4 linked regions of the Drosophila melanogaster genome follow. Each later gene encodes a partner of the first gene's protein in a complex. Each region holds a gene or a part of one and is shown in the gene's direction. Other genes may lie near its edges.

The links.
Region 2: Myb (region 1) and mip120 share a complex: the UniProt entries of both Drosophila melanogaster proteins name them as parts of the DREAM complex.
Region 3: Myb (region 1) and Caf1-55 share a complex: the UniProt entries of both Drosophila melanogaster proteins name them as parts of the DREAM complex.
Region 4: Myb (region 1) and HDAC1 share a complex: the UniProt entries of both Drosophila melanogaster proteins name them as parts of the DREAM complex.

Annotation. Positions count from the first base shown.
Region 1 is NC_004354.4:15,854,294-15,859,695, reverse strand, and holds Myb (Myb oncogene-like), read left to right. Parts: upstream 1-1,872; 5' UTR 1,873-2,019; exon of another isoform or gene 2,020-2,082; 5' UTR 2,083-2,168; coding exon of another isoform or gene 2,169-2,522; 5' UTR 2,523-2,591; coding exon 2,592-3,906; intron 3,907-3,970; coding exon 3,971-4,629; 3' UTR 4,630-4,864; downstream 4,865-5,402. Other genes in the region: AlkB, read left to right, coding at 387-503, 555-1,096, 1,159-1,498; CG46440 (uncharacterized protein), read left to right, coding at 2,169-2,522; CG15914 (uncharacterized protein), read right to left, coding at 4,989-5,402. UniProt on the Drosophila melanogaster protein: DNA-binding protein that specifically recognizes the sequence 5'-YAAC[GT]G-3'. Component of the DREAM complex, a multiprotein complex that can both act as a transcription activator or repressor depending on the context.
Region 2 is NT_033778.4:13,507,750-13,513,661, forward strand, and holds mip120 (Myb-interacting protein 120), read left to right. Parts: upstream 1-1,868; 5' UTR 1,869-1,947; coding exon 1,948-1,978; intron 1,979-2,039; coding exon 2,040-3,487; intron 3,488-3,545; coding exon 3,546-4,459; intron 4,460-4,547; coding exon 4,548-4,687; intron 4,688-4,754; coding exon 4,755-5,080; 3' UTR 5,081-5,363; downstream 5,364-5,912. Other genes in the region: mEFTu1 (mitochondrial translation elongation factor Tu 1), read left to right, coding at 1-1,464. UniProt on the Drosophila melanogaster protein: Component of the DREAM complex, a multiprotein complex that can both act as a transcription activator or repressor depending on the context. In follicle cells, the complex plays a central role in the site-specific DNA replication at the chorion loci.
Region 3 is NT_033777.3:15,223,721-15,228,109, forward strand, and holds Caf1-55 (chromatin assembly factor 1, p55 subunit), read left to right. Parts: upstream 1-1,855; 5' UTR 1,856-2,172; coding exon 2,173-2,194; intron 2,195-2,245; coding exon 2,246-2,806; intron 2,807-2,916; coding exon 2,917-3,626; 3' UTR 3,627-3,844; downstream 3,845-4,389. Other genes in the region: CG31344 (uncharacterized protein), read right to left, coding at 1-667, 1,022-1,214, 1,363-1,426; Art3 (arginine methyltransferase 3), read right to left, coding at 3,931-4,389. UniProt on the Drosophila melanogaster protein: Core histone-binding subunit that may target chromatin assembly factors, chromatin remodeling factors and histone deacetylases to their histone substrates in a manner that is regulated by nucleosomal DNA.
Region 4 is NT_037436.4:4,624,911-4,630,004, forward strand, and holds HDAC1 (histone deacetylase 1), read left to right. Parts: upstream 1-1,823; 5' UTR 1,824-2,029; coding exon 2,030-2,072; intron 2,073-2,509; coding exon 2,510-2,622; intron 2,623-2,700; coding exon 2,701-3,946; intron 3,947-4,041; coding exon 4,042-4,205; 3' UTR 4,206-4,557; downstream 4,558-5,094. Other genes in the region: axo (axotactin), read right to left, coding at 4,906-5,094. UniProt on the Drosophila melanogaster protein: Catalyzes the deacetylation of lysine residues on the N-terminal part of the core histones (H2A, H2B, H3 and H4).

The DNA of each region.
Region 1 (5,402 bases):
TATCTTCGACCGAAATAATGAAAACGATCACTGCAAAAACGTAAACAATGAAAAAATCGGTCTCAAAACAACAAAAATATTTCAAAATAGTTAAAAGTCCCGTTCATATATCGATAACTTTATATCGATAAGATTAATCACAAATGAATCACCTCATGAAAAAAGGCTTAAAATTTTTTCCATGAAAAGGACATTCGAGCTTTTTCGGCAATGTCTCTTATGAATTGCATTCATTTTTAATTTTTATATCTATCCCATAGTATTTCCACCACATGTCTGATTTCTAAACGTGCTCAAAAGCATTTAAGATTTCTCCAAACGCAGTCACACTATTGCTATCGTTTATATTAACTTATTGTTTATATTGTACTTATTGTTTATGAAGCATGTTCAAGCTAGTTTTTAAGCAGTACAAGTGCAAAAGTACCAGTCCTGATTTAACGGAAGTTGTTAAGATCGATGATTGTGTAGTCAAGGGGAATGATCAAGAAAAGAGTGATAATGTAAGTACTCGATCCGTTGCAATTGAATTATGATTTCTACATTCCCCTCAGAATATTGTTCAACGATTAAGTATCAGCAATGTAGAAAGCCTACAGACAATGCCAGGCGTTAAATCGCCAAAAGATTGGCGAACCTATACATTAACTAACCATCCCGGCATTATTGTGATTCGGAATCCATTCTCGGAACGAGGCCGGCGTTATTGGAGCGCCCGATGTCTGCGGGATTTTCCGCGAACGCCAAATATAGTCAATTTAAATGAAAGGCTCTTCGATGAATCCGTCAGGTCGGACTGGTGGAAACAGCTTAATCTGTGCAGCGATGGCGTTGAGTTCCAACGTATAAAATCCGCGATGCGTTGGACGACATTTGGATATCATCACAACTGGGACACGAAGATCTATGATGAGGAGATGCAGTCGCCGTTTCCCGAAGATTTGAGCAGTCTATGCGGATTGTTTGCGCAAGCGTTGGGATACGCGGATTTTAAGCCAGAAGCCGCAATTGTAAATTACTATCCAGTTGGTAGTACGTTATCGGGTCACACAGATCACTCTGAACCAAACAAATCGGCCCCTTTGTTTTCTTTTAGGTAATATATCACGGATTAAACATATCCGTGCAGCTAATTTTTTTTTAATTTTATGCTTACAGTTTTGGTCAGACTGCAATATTTCTAATTGGTGGAAGATCTTTAGAAGAAAAGCCAACCGCTATCTACCTTCAATCCGGGGACGTTATGATAATGTCCGGAGAATCGCGTCTATGCTATCACGCAGTTCCTCGTATCATCAAAACTCAGGCTTCCGCGACTTTATCACTGATAATTGAAGATGTCGATAATGCAGATATTAAAACGCGTACAATTGATAAAGATTTATTTCATGATGTTGGCAACCCTCAATTTTGGGAGCCTTTTTCGAGATATATGGACGATTCACGTATTAATATTAATATACGTCAAGTTTTAAATCCAGGAGATGTTAAGCTTTAACCCCTCCTTGGAAAAATTTTTAATTTTATAGTATTTTACAAAATAAAAAACTGCATTTCAATTGAAAACTAAAGAAACATAGCAATTAACGTTGAAGTGATGCGTTCAATGGAAATATCTTAAATGTATAGGTGAAGTTAATAGTTTTATAAATATATTTTTCAGTCCCTATAAATGCTACTGACAACTAAATTTGGCAATTCTGACAAAATTATTTTATCCGATGGCAACTTTTTAACAATATTTCCAAGAAGTTGATAGCTAAATATCGATACTATCCCAGCTATCGTACAAGATATTGACTTCTAGTGGAAACGTGCCGATTACCGTAGTGATTATTTATCGATAGATTTTAATCGTTTTGAATTACAACGCTAGTGCTCGTGTAACGGTCACACTAAGTACTACATTTAATATAATAAGATGCGACGCCGTAAAATTCCAGTGTGAAAACGTGAATGAACTGATCAAAAACACCAAAGTGTGTACCCATAGCCCAGCAGTTTGAATTTGAAATAACGGTAGCACCACTTTAGATGAAGACAAATGTGCGAGTGGTAATTTTTTTCCCCCGTTTTCCTCAGTGCTAAATATAGAGCATCAAAATGTTTGGCATAAACGTAATATCGTAAAACTTGCATCTGCTTTTTAGTTCGCTGCCTGAATGAGTATGTCCACAAATATCTGTAATCTTCAAGTAACAAAGAACACGAATCCAAACCAAAATCGCCTCGAGGAGCAGCAAACAAAACTATTCGATTTTGGGCGGACCGAGAGCGATGCGACGCACCCAATATTGCGCAGCGATCATCAACGTGAACTGGTCGACTGCCTGACGTGCGGAAATCAATTCAAGTGTAACTCGTACAGCGACATTTGCTCGCACTACATATTCTACCATCCGCATATTCTGGATCATTTGCCCAAGTGCTTGTACTGCAAACGCGACGTTCATCGTTTCCAGCGTGGGAACAAGTCAGAGCCGGAGATCTATCACTTTTGTTCGCCCCGCAAGCAGCGTTAAAGAACCCATACACATATATACAAAGAGCGCCATTATTCATATATATATACCTATAAAGTTGATCTTAAGATGGCAAGTGCGAGCACTGAAAACGGCGAGGAGCTGATGAATTACGGCAGCAATTCGGATTCGGAGGAGTCCGAGTACTCGGAGAACGAGGATACCCAAGTTTGCGACAAGGATTCACAACAGAACAGCAATGCCGATTCGGGCTATCCACTGGACTCGCCCGAACTACAGGACTCCAAGACGACGGGGCAAAAGGGACAGAACAAAAGCGGTAAAACTAGCATCGGTGCAGTGCATCCGAACTATGGATTCGGCAAACGCTGGTCCAAGTCCGAGGATGTGTTGCTCAAGCAGCTGGTGGAGACGCACGGTGAGAACTGGGAGATTATCGGACCGCATTTCAAGGATCGCCTGGAACAGCAAGTGCAGCAGCGTTGGGCCAAAGTCCTCAATCCGGAGCTAATCAAGGGCCCGTGGACGCGGGACGAGGACGACATGGTTATTAAGCTGGTGCGCAACTTCGGGCCCAAGAAATGGACACTAATTGCACGATATCTGAACGGACGAATTGGGAAACAGTGCCGCGAGAGATGGCACAACCACCTCAATCCGAATATCAAGAAAACGGCCTGGACCGAAAAGGAGGACGAGATTATCTACCAGGCTCACTTGGAGCTGGGCAACCAGTGGGCAAAGATTGCCAAACGTCTGCCCGGACGCACCGATAACGCCATTAAAAACCATTGGAATTCAACAATGCGTCGCAAATATGACGTCGAACGCAGATCGGTTAATGCATCTGGTAGCGATTTGAAGAGTTCGCGAACCCATCTCATCACGCTGATCAAGTCCGGTGGCATCAGCAAGTGTATGAATAATATGCAACATAACAAGGAATCTGGTGGTGAGGCAGTTAATAAATCCGAAAACGCCGATGGCGCTTCGGTTACTGCCGTGAAAGGTGGTGATCTGGCACAGGAATCACAAGACGATCATCAAAAGGGATCCAATCTGGCACACCTCAGTATGCAGCATCTCATTAAGTTGACCATGCCGCGCCAAACACCGATCATATTGAAGCGTACACGCAAACACATTCCCGAAACTCACCATCAGGCAGGATGTTCATCAAGTGAGACATTCAACCAGGAAGAAGCCGCCGGAAACGCCAGGTCGCGACCACCGAGTTCGCCCGTCATATCGCCCATTAAGTCGCTACCCTTTTCACCGAGTCACTTCCTCAAGTCGCCTTGCCTGACCACCTTTGAAGATATGGATCTGCGGGCTAGCACGCCGGTAACCAAGGTCTATAATCGCGTTGGAATGGAGATCAAAAAGGAAATGGAGACATCGTCGATAGAAACTCCACACAAGAGTAAGTACAAGCCACTGTTGGCTTCAAATGCATCTTGAATACACACAATCATCGTTATTTGTAGGTCAACTTGGACCACGAACACCAACGCCCTTCAAAAAGGCACTTGCTGCCATCGGCAAGAAGAGGGACGGTCGTCGATACGAGCCCTCCAGCCCATCCAGTCTGGTGGAGGATCTGGCCGAAATCATCCATGAAGAGCATCTGAGCAACTCGCTGACCGCAAACAATTCCAAAATGATGGGCGCCGCCGATCAGAACTCAACGCTAAGCACCGAATACAATGCTCAGTCGCCGCCGCATATGAAACGTGCCAGGAAGTCATTGCTCTCAACTTGGAGCTCCAATCATCCATACAACGCTGGCTCCGCCAAGAGGATTCAACCCTTCGAAACCGAGACGCCCAGCAAGTTTCTCACATCGCCGGGCGATATTTTGAAGGACACGCTGTGCAGCGAACAGGACCTGCCGTTCGACGAGGGCAGAAAGGAGAATCGACCATTCCATAATCGCAGAATTAACAAGTACCGCGGTGGCTTGACCTACGATCATGTCATTGATCCCAAGTGGGCACGCGTCGCTTGTGGCAAGTCCAGAGATCAAATGTTTATGGAGGAGCAGGCTTATGCGTGCCTCAAAAATCTGTCCTGTATTTCGCGCTCCCTGAACTTCGAGAAACAAAAGTGTTTGGTGAATTCGTTCGACCGCTTTGGTTCGCTCTAAATTCTATGTGGCTATATTCAGGTATTACAAACAAAATTCTATACGCATCATCTTTATAATATTGTAGATATGAATCCCCAAATTTTCATCCAAATTGTGTTTTCGAAATAGAATTTATTGTGCTACATTTATGGCATTATTGGTTACATCCACCTTAAATTGTATCCCATTTTTTTCGGATATTTCATAAATAAATAAATGCTTAAAGTGAATGAAGCGTGTTTTAACACAAAGGACTTACATATATATATCGTTTTTTTTTGGCTTTGTAGGTTACAGAAGAGAGATATATTTATTCAAAAATATATCTATTATATTACAGAGAATATTTTGATAGACATTTGCCAAACCTTCGATTTCTAACTTTGTTCGTCTGCAATATGTTTATTGAATATGTCCAGATATTTTGGCACTAGTTCTTTCGCCGAAAAACGATCGAAATTAAAGTTCTCAAAGAATTGATCGCGCTGCTTGCGAAAGACCCTCGGCATTCTACAAAAGTTGTAGAGCTTCTTCGTCAGCGCATTGGAGGTGTTGTAGAGGTTTTCCTTTGGGTAGATTTCCGGGTAGACCAATTTGTTGGGCGCAATGGGATAACAGCCGCAGAAAGCGGCCTCCAGCATTGCTACTCCAAAAAACTCATGGTCGGCAGTTGATATCACAATGTCCCCAGTCAGCAGGGTCTTCAAGTACTCTTCACGCTCCAGATGGCCAAAGTTCACCAGCTTGCTGCCCAGTTTCTCCTGTATATGCTCGAATTCCTCCGGTATCTC
Region 2 (5,912 bases), on another chromosome or scaffold:
CATGCATTTGCCGCCGCCGTCTGCCGGTCCACCGCATCCATGTCATTGGCCCTGCGCTGCAGCCGGCGCGCCATGAGCTCTGCCAGAATGCTGCGTATGGCGGGTGCCACTGCCACCTCCACGGCCTGCAAGGATTGGCAGAGAAACGGACTACTTGCTGCGCCCAGAACCGGCAACATGCAGCAGTACCTGCGCGAGTACGCCAACGAGAAGAAGGTGTTCGAGCGAACCAAGCCCCATTGCAATGTGGGCACCATTGGCCATGTGGATCACGGCAAGACCACGCTCACGGCGGCCATTACCAAGGTCCTGGCCGACAAGCAGCTGGCCGAGAGCAAGAAGTACAATGAAATCGACAATGCGCCCGAGGAGAAGGCTCGTGGTATTACCATCAATGTAGCCCACGTGGAGTACCAGACGGAGACGCGTCACTACGGCCACACAGATTGTCCGGGACATGCCGATTATATTAAGAACATGATCACCGGCACAGCCCAGATGGATGGCGCCATTCTCGTTGTGGCCGCCACCGATGGCGCCATGCCCCAAACTCGCGAGCATATGCTGCTAGCCAAGCAGATCGGCATTGATCACATCGTGGTGTTCATCAACAAGGTGGACGCCGCCGATGAGGAGATGGTCGACCTGGTGGAGATGGAGATCCGAGAGCTGCTTACCGAGATGGGCTATGATGGTGACAAGATCCCTGTGGTAAAGGGCTCGGCGCTGTGCGCCCTCGAGGACAAGAGTCCCGAGATCGGCAAGGAGGCGATCCTGAAACTGCTCCAGGAGGTGGATAGCTTCATCCCCACGCCTGTGCGCGAGCTGGACAAGCCCTTCCTGCTGCCTGTTGAGAATGTGTATTCGATTCCCGGACGCGGCACCGTCGTCACTGGTCGCCTGGAGCGCGGAGTGGTCAAGAAGGGCATGGAGTGCGAGTTCGTGGGCTATAACAAGGTGCTGAAGTCGACGGTGACGGGCGTGGAGATGTTCCACCAGATTCTGGAGGAGGCGCAAGCCGGTGATCAGCTGGGAGCTCTGGTGCGCGGCGTTAAGCGAGATGACATCAAGCGCGGCATGGTCATGTGCAAGCCGGGCAGTGTGAAGGCACTCGATCAGCTGGAGGCCCAGGTGTACATCCTGTCCAAGGATGAAGGCGGTCGCACAAAGCCCTTCATGTCCTTCATCCAACTGCAGATGTTCTCCCGCACCTGGGACTGTGCCGTGCAGGTGCAGATTCCCGATAAGGAGATGGTCATGCCCGGCGAAGACACCAAGCTCATTCTGCGCCTCATCCGGCCAATGGTCCTGGAGCAGGGACAACGCTTCACGCTGCGTGACGGAAACCTGACCCTGGGCACTGGTGTCGTCACCAGCACTCTGCCCCCATTGACTGAATCGCAGCGATCCGAGTTGACGGAGGGCAAGAAGGCGCGCGAGAAGAAGGTGGCGGCTAAGAAGTAGATCCCCGGAACGCCGTCAGTCATTAACTAAAATCATATTCTTAAGCGATTTTTATGCATATTGTATAAGTTGTTGGCGCTCCAATCACAATCGAGTAAAATATAAACAAACACCTATGGACAACGAAGTTTTAAAACTTGGAATATTAGTAGGGATCTTAAAATTGATTTAAAATAGTACGGCTTTTAAGTATTACTGTTGTTGCCTGACATTTCGGCATTTCAAAGGACTATTTGTTATATAAAGTTATGTAAGTAAGCATTGATCATTGATAAAGGGCAATATTTAATTTAGGCGCCACTCATCGATTGCTTATCGCTCTATGTTAACGGCATCCGAAATAGAGTGGTATCGAAATGGAGCCGATAAAATCAAACAAGGCCGATAATAACCTGACTACGACATTTTACAACACTGCTGCAACCGCCTTGAACGCAGCTGATGATAAAGAACATTTTGAAATTGATTTGAAAATTGGCAAAAATGAGTACCTACCGCGTAGACTACTTGACCGGTAGATTCAAGCACCGTAAACGTTTGTTTGCAAAGTAATTAATAACTTATTTTGTCCGCAGATTCCCTAGACGACACGGAACCATTGCCGGAGCTGAGTTTTGAAGACTTTTTGGAGCCAACGTCGGAGAAGAGTTCCCAGCACATGGAAATCGAAGCTCTGGACTCAGAGGAAGACAATATCGGCGGTGAAGATCTGGCCGATCCGGCCAACGATTCCCTGAACACGCCGCAGTTTAAGAAGAACGTGGTCCACATACTGGAGGACAAGAGGTTAAACTCGTCCGGACTAACCGTTTTGAAGTCGCACGCCATTAAGATGGTGACTGCCGGAGGTACTCCTCCGGCCAAGGCGCAAGTTACAGACGTAAAGATACTAAACAAATTGAAACCAATACCCAGCAGTACGCTAAAGATCGGTAGCACGACCATAGCGACCAAATCCACACCGGGCAGCATAACCAAGACTTTGGGCAACTTGACCCAGATTAGGACGAAAGATGGCCAAGTCATCTTTGTCCAGAAGTCTGTTCCTGGAACACAAAGCAGCACTGCGGTGACAGGGTCACCAAGCGGTGGAATAAGACGCCTCGTGGCGCCTTCTGGTATCCAGAAGGCAGTGCTTTCTAAGGGCGTGACCATGGCAAGCACGGGTCTGGTCAAGGCGGCTGTTCCTGCCAAAGCAAGCACCTCGGTACCCGGCTCAGCCATAACCTTAAAGGGCATCCAACCGCTGGCCGGAGGCACTGCGAAGGCGTCGACTTCCAGCACGACGGCAACCACATCCCCATCTTTGGCACAGCCCAACAAAATTCAGGTGGTGCGCACTGCCGATGGCAAAATTATCAAGATCAATCAGGCTGGTCCCTCACTGCTGGTGAACGCCAAACAGGGAACTGGGACCACAGTCACACCAGGAGGTTCTGCCGCCACTTCTGTCAAACTATCTCCCTCCACGGGAAATGTGGTGCTCAACAAGCCCGTTGGCCAGGTAGTGGTGAGAACAGAAACTCCTGTAAAAACGGCGACGGGCTCCGTTGCCAGTGCATCCGCAACACCGGGCAAGATGTTGGTTCAAAGTGGCGGCAAACAGATTCTTGTATCCAACAAGAACATCATTAAGCTGTCGCCGAATGCGAGTGCCACCAGTTCGACAACCCACACGACGGGCGGACAGACACCTTCCACCTCGAGCGGATTGCACGCTATTCAGCTGCCTGGCAAGGGAGGAATACAATATGTACGTGTCCTGAACAACAATAAGAGTGCCGCCGGAACAAGTGCAACAGCCTCAATCCCGAAAACAGTGCAAACTCAGAAGATCACTGTGGTGCGGCCACCGGCTGCTACTGGTGTTCCTGCCACATCTACTACAACATCCGCAGCAGCAGCTTCACCTGCAGCCGCATCGAAGGCAAACCTTGCCATGGGCAACACTAACAAGATTGTAATGCGATCAATGGGTGGCAGCATTGTGCCGCTGCCTTCCGTGCAGACGTTGGTCTCAAAGGTTGGTACTTGTGTTGGTACAAATTTATTTCATTCTAACTCAATTTCCATCTTTAAAGCGTGCGCTGGGCGCCATCTCCAACGCTTCAAAACCAGCCAGTGCGGCGAGCAGCAGCGCCACGCCGAGTGCCAGCCAGGAGTTGCCACGCAAACACCGTCTTACTGATCTCAATGTGCAGCTAAAGCAATCGGCCTCGGTCAGCAGTGAAGCTAGCGACAGCAGCGATGCGGGTCCTGAGGCCAAAAAGCCGCGTTACGTTATTACCATGCAGCAAGGATCACAGAAGGCAGCTTCCCAGCCAGTTCAGAAACTAATTAATCGGACAGCGAATGTACAGCGTGTGGTGTCTAGCAGTACAAGTCCCAGTTCCAACTCCACAAAGAAAATCTACAACTATGTTCAACCGACTGGAAGCAATGGGGCCAAGTACATGATCTGTAACTCGGGTGTGCCCCAATCATCGACGAGTGCCATGCGACGGGGATACACTGGATATGTGGAAAACAAGACGCGACGCCCGCCACCCATTTCCCCGCAACAGCACCGCTTTAAGCAGATGGGTCCCCAGCAGCAGTCCAAGCACCAGCAACTTCAAGCGCAGGCCAAGCAACGGATTAGACAGCAGCAACTGCCTACCGAACAATCGACGCCGATCAAGGTCGAGCCAAAGTTGCCGACACTGCCTCCGGGGGTGAAGGCCAATGTACCTGCCAAGCCGCTCTTTGAAGTCCTAAAACCTCCAGCAACCGCGGCAGCAGCCGGAGCCGTCGATCCATTGGGCGGCATGACTTCGCGGCGAAAGCACTGCAACTGCAGCAAGTCGCAGTGTCTAAAGCTTTACTGCGATTGCTTTGCAAACGGCGAGTTTTGTCAGGACTGCACCTGCAAGGATTGCTTTAACAATCTGGACTACGAAGTGGAGCGGGAGCGTGCTATTCGCAGCTGCCTCGATCGTAACCCCAGCGCCTTTAAGTAAGTTTATTTGAAAGGAAAAGCTTATGAGGTCTATCCTATGTTTCTAAAGATGCTAATCACAACTACTTTTTTTTTTTTTAAACAGACCCAAAATTACGGCACCCAATTCAGGTGATATGCGTCTGCATAACAAAGGTTGCAACTGCAAAAGATCGGGCTGCCTCAAGAACTATTGTGAGTGCTATGAGGCAAAGATTCCCTGCTCCAGCATATGTAAATGCGTTGGTAAGTGAACTGATAAATCTGTTTTATCTATGATCAAACTAACTGAATCAATCAACTTATTATTTAGGGTGTCGAAACATGGAAGACCGTCCGGACGTGGACATGGACTCTCTGGACGGATTGATGGGTGTCGAGGGTCAGAAAAAGGACAAAGCTAAAAACAAGCAATTGAACGAGAATCGCGCAAATATATATTTTACGGACGATGTCATTGAGGCGACCATCATGTGCATGATATCGCGGATTGTGATGCACGAGAAACAGAATGTGGCCGTGGAGGACATGGAGCGCGAGGTTATGGAGGAAATGGGCGAAAGTCTGACACAGATCATCGCTTTTGCCAAGGAAAAGCAAGAAACCTCTCAGATAGACGAGTCCAAGCCTTCTTCTTAGGCATGCAAATATAGTCACACATTAATTAGTTTATAAGTTCAAAGAGTTCTTGACCTTTTCTCAATCATATTCTAATTTTGGCTTTCTAAAAGTTGACCTTAAAGTAAAGTGTTTACCCTATTTAAATAATTTAAACACAAAATGTATATATCATACATAGCAAATTTCAGATATAAGGCTATTTTAATTTTTGGCCGAGCATTGTAATTGTGTTGTAAACTTTTCCCTTGGATTGAATGTAAATAATTTAGATACCTAATAAAGTTTAATGACCATTGAACACAAATGAAAAGAGACGTTGTGTTGTTTTGTAGCTTGTTTATTCACCAACAACTTCAGTTACATATTTGTATTTTGCATTTGCATTGTTTCAAATTTATTGATGGGCGAGTATATTAAACTCAACGCAATTTAGTTTGGTTTTTCACAATATCGGTATCAGCTTAGTTAGCAATATCTCTATAAAATAAACACATGTCGAATGACTACAGTATAGGTAATGCATATATTAGTTGATTGTATTGATAGTAGGTATTTAGTTTTGTATATATGTAGTTTTTTTTGTTTAAGTATAGTTATATATTCTACTTGGTCACCATTGGTATGTATAAATAGCATATAAGTATGTTTGTGTTCTGGTTTCTCCCGGTTCTCACCCTATAAACATGGCATGGCATGACATGAGTACATATGTGTGTATGTATGTAGTTTCAAGGTTTGAGTAAAAATGTGATAATCGTTTAAGGACTATAGTACATATACGTGGTTAGTAATGCTAATATATATATATATATATATGCCCTGTTATACATATTTTTCATACACTGTTTTG
Region 3 (4,389 bases), on another chromosome or scaffold:
GAAACTGTAGTACTCGTATCCCTTAACGCAGGCCAATCGCTTGGCAAAGAATATGTTGGCATTCACCGACAGCATGGTGTTTATGTGCCACAAGCCATTAATCAGGGCCTCGGTCATTCGTTTGAAATCCTCCCCAGTGTTTGCCAGAGCTGGTTCGTATACCTTACGCATCACAATGTCCAGGCGGAGCTTTGACTCCGCCCAGTTCCTACCGCAGATGTTGTACTCATCCTTGATGCCCAGCAGATAGCCGAGAACGCGCCACATATGCGTAGTGGCCTCCAGGAAGTCCTGATCTTTCAGCTTTATGCGATGTGCGCCCATCGTTATGAAGCCAATGAAACCGAACTGCGTGAGCGCCAAATCCTTCTGGGTGATCTGTCCAGCTCCTTGGCGGGCGCACGCATGACTGGAGCGGCTGTGGGCCCGCCTCACGGCCGCAATGCTGGTCCAGAACCTGCTGCCACGGTCCGCGATGTTGTGGTTATACCAGGCTTGCGTGTGGAATATAGTACGCACATAGCGACGGTAGGCGGTGAACGCTGTCGAGGATTGGCGTGTGCACGACAGCACCCGGAGAATGGATGGAATAGCCAGCACGGCAATAAGACCAGCCAGCATTCCGGCGTTCATTACAAAGCGATACGTGCTAAAGTAGCTCTGACCACTGCAAGGAAAAGGAATAAAGAATCAATTAAGTAATTCGAATGCAGTTATATTATTTAAATTAAAATATACATATACATACATGTACATATACATATATATTGTTAAAAGTAAATGTATGTCGCCTTTTGTTATTAATATGTAAGCCCGTAGGTACAAAATTGGAATAATGAGCACAGATAAAGATAAGTATTATATGCTGCCTTTTCGCATTATTATTCACATAGCAAACTGCTACATAACTCCAAGCTTATAAATAACCCATGTGTATATGGATATTGTAATTATCACAATTATTTCTACTGTGGTTACTGGGCTAATATGCAATCAGTGAACAATTAGTCACGCAACTTACCGCCTGAATAGCTGCTCATCGTACCACGAAGGTAGCTCCAAATCAGCACCGCTGTCGCCCTCCTGACTGCCCTCCTTCATTAGGTGCTCCAAGTAGTCCTCGGGCTCCTGGTGATCCTGAAGCAGTTTTGAAGCCCCCGCTGCATTATGACCATCTTTGGAATGCGATGACGACTGCATTTTCCCACTGATCCCTGGAAAGTGACGTGCGATGTAGAAAACGAGCTTGAGGTCCAAATTCGGATTACACAAGTGAAAGAAAGAAAAGACAAACAAAATCGTCGGCGCGCCAAGAGAGAAAGTTTTTCATTCAACCCGCCAACAAGTCCACTGTGCACTTACACGTTTCACGCTTCGCGGGATGGGGGATCTCGGATGAGCTGCTGGTACAACCATCAACCTGCATGTCGGCCAAATTATTGCTTGTTAAACTATTTAGCAAACTCAATAGTTCAGCTCGTTACGTGCAAAAACATTTTGCATACACAATTGGAAAAAAAGCGTTGAGGATGAATCACGGCTGCCCACCGTCGTTGCGGTTGGGGAACTTAACTGCAACTGGCACGTTAGGCTCGTCAAATAAGAATGGAAAGCCGGTCATTGGCGCGTAAACTGGTTTCGAATCATTCGCACTGATAACGAATTAAGTAGTAAACTTTGTTTATGCACTTTAGTGTGCCCGCAACTGCAACCGTTAAAATATACCTTTTAAAACCCCAAATATATCGATGTAAACCACAAAATACTAAAATCATGACGCAGGAACGTAACAAGTATAAAAATACCGCGCAGTGTCATCTCCATAACTCTGTTATCGTTATCGTAATCGAATATGGCAGTCGTCTCGACAATCTTTAGCATTGCATCTCTATCATCGACGACGCGCTTGCAAAAAAACGAAGGAAATTAGCCAATTTCTATTTTGCCCTGACGTTACGCCGTTTAAAGTGTAAGTTCCCGGCCAGGATTCGACTCAATCCCTGCCACAACGACTTTCGGTCAAGTGTTCGTTGCGAGAGCTTTAACTACGTAGCGAACTTTCGTAGTTTTTCTGCACACGTTTTGCCGCTTCGGCTTTTGTTTTGGCGCCCGATTTTTTCGGCTGCCGACTTTTGACGCAGACTGAGAAATTGCGTGCCTAAAAGCCTCGAAATGGTGGATCGCAGCGATAATGGTAAGTCCGGTTAGAAGTTAATCGCCGCAATGTGTAACCATCGACCTTTAGCAGCGGAATCCTTCGACGACGCCGTCGAGGAGCGCGTGATCAATGAGGAGTATAAGATTTGGAAAAAGAACACGCCGTTCCTGTACGATCTGGTCATGACGCATGCCCTGGAATGGCCCTCGTTGACTGCCCAGTGGCTGCCGGACGTGACCAAGCAGGATGGCAAGGACTACTCGGTACATCGTCTTATACTGGGCACACACACATCTGACGAGCAGAACCATCTACTCATCGCCAGCGTTCAGTTGCCCAGCGAGGATGCCCAGTTCGATGGTTCGCACTACGATAACGAGAAGGGCGAGTTTGGAGGCTTTGGATCGGTGTGCGGCAAAATCGAAATCGAGATTAAGATCAACCACGAGGGCGAAGTGAACAGGGCCCGCTACATGCCCCAGAACGCCTGTGTAATCGCCACCAAGACGCCGTCGAGTGATGTCCTGGTCTTCGACTACACGAAGCATCCCAGCAAGCCGGAACCGTCTGGCGAGTGCCAGCCTGACCTGCGGCTGCGCGGTCATCAAAAGGAAGGCTACGGACTCTCTTGGAATCCCAACCTCAATGGTAAGTGCGTAGCTGTACCTAGTACTTATATATTAGCTCAGATAAGAGCTTGACACATCTAAAATGCATTACGTTTTAACCCTTAATGAACATCTTGATTGTCCTTACAGGCTATTTGCTGTCAGCCTCTGATGATCACACCATCTGCTTGTGGGACATCAATGCCACACCCAAGGAGCATAGGGTTATTGATGCCAAGAACATCTTCACCGGCCACACCGCCGTTGTTGAGGACGTGGCTTGGCATCTGCTACATGAGTCTCTGTTCGGATCGGTGGCTGACGACCAGAAGCTGATGATCTGGGACACGCGCAACAACAACACCTCGAAGCCCTCGCATACAGTGGACGCTCACACAGCGGAAGTCAATTGCTTGAGCTTTAATCCCTACTCGGAGTTCATTCTGGCCACGGGCTCCGCTGACAAGACTGTAGCTCTATGGGATCTGCGCAACCTCAAGCTAAAACTACATTCCTTCGAGTCGCACAAGGACGAGATCTTCCAAGTGCAGTGGTCGCCGCATAACGAGACTATTCTCGCCTCCTCCGGCACTGACCGCCGCCTACACGTCTGGGATTTGTCCAAAATCGGCGAGGAGCAGAGTACGGAGGATGCTGAGGACGGACCACCCGAGCTGCTCTTCATCCATGGCGGTCACACTGCCAAGATTAGCGATTTCTCGTGGAACCCCAATGAGCCATGGATCATTTGCTCCGTGTCCGAGGACAATATTATGCAGGTCTGGCAGATGGCCGAGAATGTTTACAACGACGAGGAGCCAGAGATTCCCGCCTCCGAGTTAGAAACCAATACCGCTTAAAGCATCTGTTCCGCCTCCTATAATACACACCAAACTACAACTGAATCCGATAATGTTTTGGCCGTGCCCCGTGTCCAGCTATCCAGCCTAAATGGCAATGGGTACTCATTTTAATTTATATATATTTACATATTTTTAAAAACAAAATTTAATTAAGCTCTCATTTGTCAGCAGATTGTACAATCTATGAATTTTTAATTAAAAATGATTAAAAAGTCAAGAAATGAGGTTAATTTTTTTGAAATTAAATACCAACTTAGATCTTCAAGCGTATTTTATTTAATTCTATTCAAAAAGAAGCACATTAAACCACATTGTATTTGTGTTTCTTGCCAAAGACTTCTATGTCCACACTAAGTCCTCTGACATCCTCTTTATGTCTTCTTGACGTGATTTTCCCACAAATGACGTCTCCTTCCTTCACAACCTGCGGGTTCTCGATGAAGAAAACCGTTTGCTTCCAATGGGTGGGCGTCGCAGATGGTGATGTGCTGAACATGACGGGGGAGGGTAGTTCAAACAATGTTTCAAAGTAACCGACAAAGGCGGATAATCGTCCCGGCTTCGTGACCTTTAAGCTAAACTGGTGAGTAAAGTTTGGATAGTTCATATCGACGGTCATTATGTCGAAGTTAGCTATCTGTTCGGGTTCCGTCAGCATGAACTCTGCATCCACCACCTGCATGAGTGGCTCCTCTATTGATTGCTTTCGCAGATCGCTCATGTCGACCTCGTAAACGTTAGACCAGAATTCCACTTCATC
Region 4 (5,094 bases), on another chromosome or scaffold:
AAGAAGCCTGAAGAAATGGTTAGTATGTGTCGAAATATAACAAACAACAAGTCTTAAGATTCCTTAAGTTAAGCTTTATTCCATTTCTTCATTATTTTTTCATCTTTCGACTTTTCACTGTACACATTATCAGCCACAGAAGCATAAATAGAAATGCAGCGGGAGAGCAAATCTAGCACTCTTTTTTTTAGTTTTTGTGTTTACTTATTTGCGTTCATTGGCTTCTCTTCCTAACGGCACTTCGGGCCAAGGAGGTGCGAATGAAAAGGAGCTATAATCCGGTTTTATATCGCACTTACCTTTTTTAATTAGAATAAATCAAAACTTTGCTGCGGATTCCGATTCTCTTTATTTGCTATCAAAAGCAAAGCGGACTTTACAGTTACGCCTGTTAAAGTTGTTGTTTTTACTGCACGGTCTGCGGGCCAAATAAAAACAACAAATACTATATTTTTGCTGTTTACTTTACGCCGAACTTCGACGCTAATTGGAAAAAGAGATGCGGGAAGGAGAGAGAGCAATGAAAACTATAATTAAACGCCAGCAAAAAAAGGTCTTAAATATCCTGCGGGCACAGCAACAACAACAGAGAAAAATACAGGAGGAAAACCAAGAGAAAGAAGGGGAGAAGTTAACATAAAGTAACAGAAAGTTGCGAAGGAGAGGCGTTGGTCTCCGAGGGGGAAAGGCATAGGAAAAGACTCTTAAGGGAAAAAGAGAAAAGTCGGAAAGAGAAAAGCTGCGCAGGATATTTTAGCCGCCTATGAAAAATGTTAATTTTGTTTTAAATGTTCACTGCGGGTTTCATATGTTTTTTCTTGCATTATTGGCCACTTCGCTTTGTCACTTTACTTCGGTTTTAATTTTTCCACTTCTTCATTCGCCCAGTGAGTGTGTGCGTGCGAGGGAGATGGAGCGAGAGAGCGTGTTTGTGTTTCCACTGCAACTCCATTCTTCTTTCTCTTTTTTCACACACACACACAGGGCACACACGCACACTTGCACATGGGGGAGTTGGAAACTTACGCGTCGCCGTTTTATTAATTTTATTCAATTAACAATCGCCTCTAATTCAGCAACTCCAAAACACTACAAAATCTCGTTGTACTTGAGCACTATTGTTTGTCGATAAGAAGCCGCCGAAAAACGCCGACCGAGGAGGAAAATCACCCGCGCTGGAAAATCGCGTCCGAGTCGTTCAACGGTGAATTTTAGAGTGAGAAGGAAAATCGTGGGAAACTGCGGTGGATTTTAGAGCGAGATGGGTGATGCTCTGAAAGAGAGAGAGGGAATGCACCCTCTGGCGATGGGCCAAGTTCGATATTAGCATGGATTCCTATCGATTAATCGACTTAACATTATTTACCCCGGACTACAACCTATTACTTCTGTGTTTTTGTTTTTCTTAAATTATAATGAATCATTTATATTTGTATAGAAAATATTGAAATCAATTAGTTTATTCGAATGCTTAAACTTAAATGTTTTCCAACAACATCTCTAGTTCCAGCTTCAGACTCTGCAACGTGATCTTAGCCAATAAACTTTGCTTTATAAACTTATAATTGATCCTTGCTATTTTTCCAAAAAATATGTCGTGATATTTGATAATTTTTGATAAGTACATAGGTCTGATTGTTTATATATCTAATAAAAAATGACCACTCTGTATGAAGAGGGTAATCGTATTTCATATGTAAATTTATTAAATATATTTCTTTAATAAATAATTAAATATATTTGTTTGGTATTTTCGGTATTCATGCAGTTAGTATTAAAAGTATATTCTGCAGAGCCGGGAAGTGTGGATTTAAAAAAGTCCGCGGTCACACTGCCCATCTGCAGAGGTTTCCTCTTCGCGAATTTGTCTTGTGCGCTCCGATTTTGGCTATATAGTTGCGCCAAAGTGCCAAAAATCGGACCGGCACCAAAGTAAACCATCTTCTGAGCTCGCAAGTTCATCCGATCGACGAAGGATAGAAAAACATCGACTTTAAGGGGATTTAAGACCCGCCAACAGCACCGCAAAATGCAGTCTCACAGCAAAAAGCGCGTTTGTTACTACTACGACAGTAAGTTTTGAGCATTTAAATGGAAGTAAAAGGCCTACTAGATGGGTAATTTGTGTTTACAAAGTGCCAGCTAGGGTTACCATGTCGACTTTGTGTTTTTTCCGCATCCACTTAGCATCAGATGATAGCATTTTTGCAAATTTCAAGTTTTACGGCGACTGTACGAGCGCGTTCCGGTCCACAGCGCACTTTTTCCATACGACCGCAGTGCGTTTGTATGCGTTTGTGTGTGTATGTACCTGATGTCTATCTTCCTCTTCTGTGTGTTTTTGTTGCTTTTTCGTTCGGGGCGAAAGTGCTACTACTGCGGTCGTTCGGAAAAAGTGCTGCTCTCAGGCAGACGCCTCGCCGACAGTGGCCTTAAAATTTGTATTCCACATAGCGTGGCAAATAATTACTTTTTCAACGTGCTCATAATTGCGATTTTTGATCCATAGGCGACATTGGCAACTACTACTATGGCCAGGGTCATCCCATGAAGCCCCATCGCATACGCATGACCCACAACCTGCTGCTCAACTATGGGCTCTATCGAAAAATGGAAATATACGTGAGTTACTTTATTAATATGTGATGATAGATATATATATATATATGATAGATTTAAACGCGAATTTCTCTATTCTAGCGTCCCCATAAAGCCACTGCCGATGAGATGACCAAGTTCCACTCGGACGAGTACGTCCGGTTCTTGCGATCCATTCGGCCGGACAACATGTCGGAGTACAACAAGCAGATGCAGCGTTTCAATGTCGGCGAAGATTGTCCCGTCTTCGATGGACTATACGAGTTTTGCCAACTCTCCGCCGGAGGATCCGTAGCTGCGGCCGTAAAACTGAATAAGCAAGCCTCGGAGATCTGCATCAATTGGGGCGGTGGGCTGCATCACGCCAAAAAATCGGAAGCCTCGGGCTTCTGCTACGTCAACGACATTGTTCTGGGAATTCTGGAACTGCTTAAATACCATCAGCGTGTTCTCTACATAGATATAGACGTCCATCACGGCGATGGCGTGGAGGAGGCGTTCTATACCACCGATCGTGTGATGACTGTCAGCTTCCACAAGTACGGAGAGTATTTCCCGGGCACTGGCGATCTGCGAGACATTGGCGCCGGCAAGGGAAAGTACTATGCGGTGAATATACCCCTGCGTGATGGCATGGATGATGATGCGTACGAGAGCATATTTGTGCCCATTATCAGCAAGGTGATGGAAACATTCCAGCCGGCAGCCGTGGTGTTGCAGTGTGGCGCCGATTCGCTGACTGGCGATCGGTTAGGCTGCTTCAATCTCACCGTCAAGGGTCACGGCAAGTGCGTGGAGTTCGTGAAGAAATATAACCTGCCATTCCTGATGGTCGGCGGTGGTGGTTATACCATTCGTAATGTATCCCGCTGCTGGACCTATGAGACCTCCGTTGCACTGGCCGTGGAGATAGCCAACGAACTGCCCTACAACGATTACTTCGAGTACTTTGGGCCCGATTTTAAGCTGCACATTAGTCCCAGCAATATGACGAATCAGAATACATCCGAGTACCTGGAGAAGATCAAGAACCGTCTGTTCGAGAACCTGCGCATGCTGCCTCACGCTCCGGGCGTTCAAATCCAAGCGATTCCCGAGGATGCCATCAACGATGAGTCCGACGACGAGGACAAGGTCGACAAGGATGATCGCCTGCCGCAGAGCGACAAGGACAAGCGCATTGTGCCCGAGAACGAGTACTCCGATTCGGAGGATGAGGGCGAAGGCGGTCGCAGGGATAACCGTTCGTACAAGGGTCAGCGGAAGCGGCCGCGTCTCGACAAGGACACCAACAGCAACAAGGCATCCTCAGAGACGTCCAGCGAGATCAAGGACGAAAAGGAAAAGGGTGAGTGATTAACCATTAGTCATTTTAATTGGTTCTACTGACCACTTGTAATTTGTATTTAAACCCTACTAACTAAACCATTATGCTGTTTTCAGGCGACGGAGCTGATGGCGAGGAATCGACGGCGTCTAATACCAATAGCAACAACAACAGTAACAACAAGAGCGATAATGATGCCGGAGCGACAGCTAATGCCGGATCCGGTTCGGGATCAGGTTCCGGTGCCGGGGCCAAGGGCGCCAAGGAGAACAACATTTGACGTGGCGGCCGCAATTGGTTATAGAAGCCAATTAAGCGACCGCCGAAGTACAAGCCACCGGATTTCACCTAGTGTCGTCTCATTCCCGCGCCCCCCTTCACCAACACGCCCCGTAGCCATGTCCAGGGCTTTTTCTACACGCCCCTACACAAGGTCCCACTGCGATCGGCTCCTTTTTTTCAGTGGGAATATTCCCAAAGGGGGATAAATCAGTAATCAGTGGGCGGAAACACAATTTATTTTAAGATCGAAAGTGTATAGCTAAGCAAAAAGTGAATGCATACTTACAAGCGATCCAATGTGGCGAATAACGCAGAAACTAATTTAATCAAATAAAAATATTTATACATTTATTGATTTTAATTTTAATGGAAAATTAATTGAGCTGCTATCTTTTAAATATTTTCTTTTGGAAGTATTCGATTTCCCATTTTTAGCAAAATACTTACGTTTCCACATTTAGGTTTCTTAGTAACAAACTAAACGATAATTTGTAACAATTTATTTGTATTTTAACTAGGACTAGCTAACAATTTTTAAGATTTTAACTTTGAGTTTCTAAGTTGAGGAGATTGTGGCATTTGGGGGGGAGAAAAGGATCCACTGGGGGTTTTCCCGCCCACCAGTTGACAGTTTGTGACTAGTCGGCGAGGTTTTCCACGGATTGCAGTGGGCGGAGAACTGGAAACTGGCTGCGGTGCTAATCCAGCGATAATATCGAGTCGATGCTGGTGCGATTACTGCGCGGCTGCAGACGCGGTCCACCCAAGTAACTAATTGGATTCGCGAACTGGCGCTGCAGCAGTGAGTTTTCCAGGAAAAGCGTCGGCGGCGGGGGTGGGCGCGTCACTTTCGAGTGATGCTGTCGCATCGGCACCAATGGGGATTT